Linked DNA regions of Oryctolagus cuniculus. The main gene of each other region encodes a partner of the protein of the gene in region 2 in a complex. Links are inferred from orthologs where the notes say so. Each region holds a gene or a part of one and is shown on either strand. Other genes may lie near its edges.

Region 1 (4,300 bases), on a different chromosome or scaffold from region 2:
TTCTGATGGCAAATAGTTTATTCTCTATAGTTCTATTTATGACTGACTGTAATAGACGATTCTAATCAATGCAATACATATATAGTAAGACCATTATTTATTCATTAGTTAAAGCCTGACTTTTGGGCCTGCATTGTAGCACAGCAAGTTAAGCCACTGCCTGAAGAACCAGCATCCCTTATGGAAGCAGTTCAAGTGCTGGCTGCTCTACTTCCGATACAGCTCCCTGCTAATGTGCCTGGGAAAGCAGTGGAAGATGGCCCAAGTGCTTGGGCCCCTGCACGTACATGGGAGACCCAGGAAGCTCCTGGCACCCACATGAGGGACCCGGATGAAGCTCCTGGCTCTGGCCTGGCCCAGCTCTGGCAGTTGCAGCCATTTGGGGAGTGAACCAGTGGATGGGAGACCTCTCTGTCTGTCTCTCCCTCTCTCTGTAACTCTGCCTTTCAAATAAATAAAATAAATTAAAAAAAAAAAAAAAAAGCCTGGCTCTGGAGAACTACAGGTTGCCTCAGTCACCTTCAACAGCTCCTTCCACGCAACGTGAAAGAAACCGCCTATTGAAACCCACGTTATTAGTGAGGTCCACTTATCACAAACAAGGCAAGCTCTGACACAAACGCTCTTTCCCTTGAAAACAGAGGACACACGGACAATTATATTTGGTGATATTTCAGCCCTCATACCAGTGCTGAACTGATCCATGGACACTTTGCAAAGAGTCATCGATTTACTCAAATCATACAAAAAACACTGTTAACCCACAGAGAGCGGACTGGTTAAACAAACAATACAGCAAAATCTAGCTGCCAAAGGGCTGGGGGTGGGGGAAGGTCCTGGCCCTGTCTCAGGCAGGTAAACAGCACAGAGGCAACCTTGTGAGGTGCTTCTCTCGGGTCTGTGCATAAGGAAACTTCTGCAAAGCCACAAGGCGGGTGCTCCTGTGAACCCTGCCGTATTGGGCACAGCGCCCCAGAGAGCTACTGCAGTAAGTTTATATGGTAGGGACGCAAGGCTCCCTTGGTAAGAAACACATTTCCTAATCAATGCTTCTCCACTTTGGCAGTGTGGTTTAGAAAAAAAAAAAAAAGCCAAAAACACAAAAACACACACCCTCAAAGTGAAAAACCCAACCTACAAAGACCTGACCACAAGTGCATGATATGGAAAACTGGGGAAGTCTCTTCTGAACACCAGCTGTTTAGCTACCGCGGAAAACGGTTTCCTTCATGGCAGACAGAACGTGCACTGGGAAACCTCCTCCAGTTTCATGCTGTCAGAGACCCTGCCTTCAACCTGGGCCACCCGGTAGGGACTGGACTCGGGCGAACACTGTCAACCCCCAAGCAGCCTTCCCGTCTGCTTCTGAACACGGTTCTCCCACTGGCTCGTTAATGTAAAACCGAATGCTCCGAATAGCCGCGCTGGAGCACCGGGTGGGGACTCCAAGTCGCTCGGCCGCTGCCCACCCCTCGCAGGGGCGCACGGCCGGCCGGGCCACCGCCACTGCCCAGCGACGCCAGCACCCGCCTATCTCCCCGGGTGGGGGGCGGCTTTCTAACGTGGATTTCGCGTTACTCCCGATGCCAAGCGTCGCCAACACGCCAGACATGGGTAACCACACGCCCCGCACCGCCACCCTGCAGACCCTGCCCATTTCTTTCCACGTGAAGCCGGCGAATGCAAAGAATCAAGGAGCTCCCCGCCCCCAGCCCAACTACGCAATGAAGTCTCTAAGTAGGGGCTCCAAGCACCACATTCCGAAAATTCAGAGCTAGCCAAACAAAACGCCAAGGGAACCGCGTCGGTTCGCTTAAATATTGACAGATCTCACTTTTTTTTTTTTTTAAGTATCCAAGAGACGCCAAGATTTCCACACCCGCCCCTCCCCCCCGCGCCGCCTCCCTCCCACCCCTCCCCCACCCCGCCAGTCGCTTCCCGGACGCCTCCGGGATGCTACTCACCCAGCTTTTCCACCAACTTCAGCATCACCCCTCCGATGTGCACCTCTCCGGTCACTCTCAGGGTGACATCGCGGTTCAGGTCCGTCACATGCACACTCAGCTCCCACGTCCCGTCCGCGTAGCAGCCATCTGGCATCCTTATCCCGTCCAGAGCCATGGCTCCTTCCTGCGCGCGCGGAGGAAATGGCTCTCGTAAGCGTCACTCCCCCAAACGAAGGCAAAGCCCACCGTGCTCGCGGCGTCGGCCGCCGGGCTGGGGAAGCCGGAGGACCCGGTGTTGGGGGTGGGGTGGGGGGCTCCCGCGCAAACTCGGGAGCACCGCGGAGCCGCACTGGGCGCTCCGCGCTCCCGCCCCGGCCCCGAGCGGCCGCGGCCCCGCCCGCCCCACGCCGCCCCCGCCTAGCGGAGCGCAGCGGCGTCCCCTGCCTGCCGCCCGGCCGCGCCCGGCCGCGCCCGGCCCGGGGAGACGCTGCCCGGGGGCTCCACAGTCTTCGTCCCCACCCGCGCTCCCCAGCAGATTGCAGCCCCGTCCAGGCCCCTCACCGCGCGCTCCTCGCGCACCCGGCCCGGGGCTCGCCCGCAACAGGCGCGGGGGCGGCGTCCGCGTCCCGCTCCGCAGCCGGCTCAGCTCTGCCTCCTGGCCGGAGCCGCTAATGGAGTCCCGGCGCCGCGGCCCCCAGCCTGGCTCCGCGCGCTCCACCCCTCTCTCCCCGCCCCCTCAGCCCGTCCGGTCCGGGCTGGGCTCGCCGGCTCCCTCCTCCTCCTCCTCCTCCTCCTCCGCCCCGCAGAGCGGCCCGGAGCGCCTGGGGCCGACCTCGGCCCCTCCACAGCCCTCCCCGCGGCTGCGCTCCGGGCGGGGGCCGCGGACTCCGGGCTGGGGGCGGGGCGGCGGGGGGCGGCGGGGGGCGCCGGCGGCGGCGGTGGCAACCTCAGCCCCGCCGAGCGCTGCCCTTTTATGGAAATGAAGGACCAGGCGCAGGGATGGAATCCAACATCCGGGCTCTCGGCGGCGGGACCTGAGGAGGGGGAGTCCGGGCCGCTCCTCCGCCAGCCGGAGGCCGCGGCGTGAGGGAGCCGGCGGCCGCCCGGAGGATGGGGCTCGGCGCGGCGAAGTGGCCGCAGGGAATCCCCAGAGCCGTCAGATTTCGGGGAACAAAGTCCTGCCGCTTCCTCCCCAGGCCTGGAACGCGCCCCAGAGTCCCGGGGCGGTGAGGGGCGCCGCTTCCCTGGAGCCGGCGGGCCGAGTTGGGGATGTAAAAACTTTAAAAAGTGAGCGCCCAAGCCGGCTCCACGAACATGCCGCGACAGGAGGAGAAAACCCGGGGTGGGGGAGGCGAGCCACAAACGTCGCTGTGCCATGGGTGACCGGCACGGTCAGCGACTCCCACGGGACCCCGGGAGTTTGCACGAGGCCTTAACCCATTGGGAAGCTGCAGCCCGGGGCGAGTGGCGGGCGGGCCCCCTCGCTCGGGCTGAGGGCAGGGAAAACCCTTGGTGCCAAAGCGTGTCCCCGGCCTGTCCAGTCTCCGGTGCGAATCTGGACAGCTTGAGAACCAGCCGCCTGTTACGAAGATGGGTCCTGCACCGCACCGCGAAGGCCCTGCGGTGGCTCCTGCAGGGCCAGGGAAGACTGCACGGAAGGTGCAACGCCGGCCTCCGGCCTCCCTGCCTCCCCCTGCCCCCTGTGCCGACCTCGATCCCGAGGGAACTCTGTGCACAAACAGCGAACCAGGGAAACCGCTTCGCTGGCCAGTGCACGGCTCAAAATATATAGGTCAGGAAGCCTCGGGTAAGATCCGCTACGAAGGCTCCCGGTTTGCAAAGCCTCATGGCTTTCCAAACACTTCGAAGGGAAACCCGCCAGACAAAAACAAAACACACTTTGGTTCATCGACACCTCTGGGCCAGGAGGTGAGAGCCTTGAGAAAGGACTGGAACCCAAAAAGGAGTGAACGCAGCGATGCTGAGTCGGATGCCAGAGGTTTGTCACCAAAAAGTAGAGGGAACCACTGTGGGGTTACAGCGTCGTCGTCATGGAGAGACATGCCTGCAGGCTCTGCCCCTGCACTCCCCGGTTATTTCTACTGAAGGATGTTCCAGATCCTTCCTTTGGAAGCGATAAGGAGGGAGTGTTTATGTGAATTGTGCTGTTGAAAATAAACAGGAAAATGTTTTTAATAAAATAGAAAATGCCTTGCGAGGGTTTAAAAAAAAAAAAACTACATGCGACTGTAAAATCGAGAGCAAATATATTCAAAAGAAAAAGGCAGCAGGGAAATACAGCAAAACTGTTCAGAAGCTGAGCCCACTTGGTACTGCTATTTATTTGCTACAAA
Region 2 (3,500 bases):
TGGACTGCTTGGCCTCCTGAAATGTGAGTGATGCATTCCTGTGGTTTGTGAGCTGTCTGGTTCCAGCTGCCCAGCAGGACTGAGCTGTACATCCATCTTCTGCCTACCCACTTTAAAAATAATGAGCATTGGTGCCAGCACTGGGGCTAAATAGGTTAAGCTGCGCCCACAGTGCCAGCATTCTACATGGGCACCAGTTGGAGTCTCAGCTGCTCTACTTCCAGTGCAGCCTCCCTGCTAATGTACCTGGGAAAGCAGTGGAAGATGCCCAAGTGCTTGTGTCCCTGCACCCATGTGGGAGACCCAGAGGAAGCTCCTGGTTTTGGTCTGGCCCAGCTGTGGCTGGTGCAGCCATCTGGGGAGTGAACCAGTGGATAGAAGACCTCTCTCTATGTATGTATGTATCTATCTCTAACTCTGCCTTTCAAATAAATTAAATCTTTAGAAAAATAAAATAAAAATAATGAACACTGACTTTCTTAGTATCCTCAGTTCTCCACAGTGCCACGTTGGATGGATGGATGAATAAATGAATGTTCTGGAATTCTGACCACTTCAAAAAGACTACCTTGCTTAAGAACTTACTATTTCCATGGTCCCTGAACTGTGCCTACTGAATACAATGGCACTTTAAGTTTTTCAAGGTTTCTTCTAAAACAGAGTTAATTTTTAAAAGGCAGCTTTTTGGCCACAAGGAGGCTGTCCAGTTTCTCCAGCACTCTGCTGCAACACCTTGGGTGCGGCAGGAGCAGGAGACAGCCGGCGACGAGCAGGCAAGCCTGGAGATGCACAGGACAGGAAAGGAAGGGTGGAAAGCAGAACATCACAGCATGGCAAACTGGGTCTGAGTGAGACAAGGCCGTACCCGCGGGTGGACATGAGTGGGTGAACTGTGAGGACAGGCACGACTTCTTCATCTGTGCTGAGCACACAGGGATACAGGAGCCCAGAGGCAGAGCGCCTGTTACACAGATGATGTTTCCTCTCAGAAGGGAAGAGCTAAAAACTGGCCTGGAGAACAAAGAAGGAAAACTACTAATTTTCCCAACATTCCTACCAATTCGGAAGTCTGAAGTCACCCTCCTCATCTCATTCATCAGATCCGTCCCGAGACTCTTGACGTTCTCCAGATCATCTTTCATGGAGTAGGAGAGGTCCATGAGGTAGTAGAGGTCGATGGGGTAGTCTTCAGCACGCTTGAACTTCAACGTGAACGTCTGGGGCTCCCCTAGCCAAACGGGTCAGAAAAGATGTTAGCAAGCCAAGAACCAAGAACAAGTGAGAAAACCAAATGGATCTGATTTACAGGGCCAACAATGCAAGATGAAATGCACTGTCATAAACTTAACAAAACTCACTGGGTCTATACTCAATTTCATTCAACCAATACTTGACACTCCAGACCTCGGGGTGAAAAAGACAACATGCCGGCCAGCACCACGGCTCAATAGGCTAATCCTCCACCTGCGGCGCCGGCACACCGGGTTCTAGTCCCGGTCGGGGCACCGGATTCTGTCCCGGTTGCCCCTCTTCCAGGCCAGCTCTCTGCTGTGGCCCAGGAAGGCAGTGGAGGATGGGCCAAGTGCTTGGGCCCTGCACCCCATGGGAGACCAGGAGAAGCACCTGGCTCCTGCCTTCGGATCGGCGCAGTGCTGGCAGTAGCGGCCATTAGGGGGGTGAACCAACGGAAAAGGAAGACCTTTCTCTCTGTCTCTCTCTCTCACTGTCCACTCTGCCTGTCAAAAAATAAAAAAAAAAAAATTAAAAAAATAAAAAGGCAACATGCCCAACCTACACTAGGTAATCTATGTCTAAATCATCCATTTTTCAACGGTCTTGGGCTGGATAGGTCACAGGGCTGACTCTCATTCTAGAGACTGGCATTCTAAAGGAACTCAGGTCTTGGTCACAGGAAGCCACCACATGAAAGAAAATCACAGAATACGATTTCTGCTTTAGAAAATCTGGGTAAAGTTTTACAATTGGATTATAGAGTCAAAGACCAGTTAAGGAATGATGGAAAATTCAAGGGGAGGTGATGAAGATCTGAATTGAAACAGTGAGGATAGAGAACTGGAGACAGAGTTGTCGGCATACTTCAGTCACGAAACACAGGAGAATGAGAGGTTCAGGTGAAACATGGTTAAAAATCCTGTCTACAGACAGTTCTGGGAGACAGGTCAGAGGAACTGTTTGGAGCTCAACAGAAAAGTTTGTGTTGCTGCAGCTTTTAAATCATGACAGGAAAGCCAAGTTGTAAAGTGGACCACAGAGATGGGGACAGGAAGAGACACAAAAGCCTAGAAACCAACAGTGAAAGCTCAGAGAAGCCAGGAGCACCATCCTGGGTGCAGGAGGGTCAGAACAGACCAGCAGGCGCACGAGCTGTGGTGTCAGCCCAGTGCAGCGGCTGTGCTACAGTGGACTCAGCAGCAGGTGGACTGCACCAGGCTCAGTGTGAGCGCAGGGGCCAGGGTGAGGGGGACCGAGCACCACCACCTCCTGACACAGCACAGGAGTGGGTCACACACTGCCACAGACACTGACCAAGAATAATTTTAAAATACTGCACAAGAAAGGAAACATTACAATGTTGCCTTTATGATAATCGAAAATGAATCTTGATGTGAATGGAACGGGAGAGGGAGCAGGAGATGGGAGGGTTATGGGTGGGTGGGAAGTTATGGGAGGGAAAAGCCATTGTAATCCATAAACTGTACTTTGGAAATTTACATCTACTAAATAAAAGTTAAAAAATAAATAAATAAATAAAAAAGGTTGCCTTTATATAATGTAATCAAATCAGAAAATGGACAATACTTGTAAAGCCCATTAAGTCTAATTCACACTTGCCGAATCATTAGCAGATTTTACTTCTGACGATGGCAACATTTAACATTACTCCAGGAATATGCATTTCACAAGCTGTGTGTTTTCAGAAAACTCTGTAAAGCTGGCCAGCGTCAGCTGGACTGGGGGCCTGCCTGTGAGGACGGCACTTCAGGGGCAGATGGCTGGGCCCGCACCTGATCGCAGCTGCAGAACCAGCTGCTGGGGCTGGATCTGAGTGATATCCTCCGGCTGCAGCTTCTCTGCTGTGCCTTTGCTACGGTTGGTGACATTCTTATTTTTCTTTATGTCTCTGGAACCTCTGGGATTCTCTATGTCGTCTGGATGGCAGCCTTTCTTTTTCAAGGCTTCTAAGTCATCACATCGTGCAGAAGTAGGCATTCCTTCTTGCAAAAACGTCTAAACGACATTAAAACACAAGTCAGAGTACAAAGAGGGGCATATAATATAGCTCATTTCTACCTTTTAAACAAAATGCTCCCTTCATCCAAATCATAGAAAGCACTCTTGTTTAACAACAAAATCATTCCTGAAAAACTCATACCTTTCCCAGGACTGACTTACTAAGTGTTCATTTTAAATGTCTCACTCTTTGATTCCGAAGACGAATTTCTTGGTGAAATCACATATTCAGTGGGATCAACAGCTAC

Evidence for each region. Proteins that work in one complex are often made in the same cells at the same time.
Region 1: the proteins of ITGB1 (region 2) and FERMT2 are in contact, whole or in part, in a crystal structure (PDB 8TEE), measured with the Mus musculus proteins. The link is inferred for Oryctolagus cuniculus from reciprocal best matches to the Homo sapiens genes ITGB1 and FERMT2. Residues at the interface, in NP_034708.1 of Mus musculus: Ala786, Val787, Thr788, Thr789, Val790, Val791, Asn792, Pro793, Tyr795, Glu796, Gly797; in NP_666166.2 of Mus musculus: Phe609, Ser610, Asn611, Met612, Lys613, Gln614, Trp615, Asn616, Val617, Asn618, Trp619, Glu620, Ala629, Asp630, His647, Ile654, Ser657, Thr658, Lys674, Leu675, Ser677, Gly678.

Annotation. Positions count from the first base shown.
Region 1 is NC_091443.1:23,418,985-23,423,284, reverse strand, and holds the start of FERMT2 (fermitin family homolog 2), read right to left. Parts: upstream 2,801-4,300; 5' UTR 2,508-2,800; intron 2,131-2,507; 5' UTR 2,122-2,130; coding exon 1,965-2,121; intron 1-1,964. UniProt on the Homo sapiens protein: Scaffolding protein that enhances integrin activation mediated by TLN1 and/or TLN2, but activates integrins only weakly by itself. Binds to membranes enriched in phosphoinositides.
Region 2 is NC_091444.1:108,918,883-108,922,382, reverse strand, and holds part of ITGB1 (integrin beta-1), read right to left. Parts: intron 3,250-3,500; coding exon 3,027-3,249; intron 1,229-3,026; coding exon 1,058-1,228; intron 1-1,057.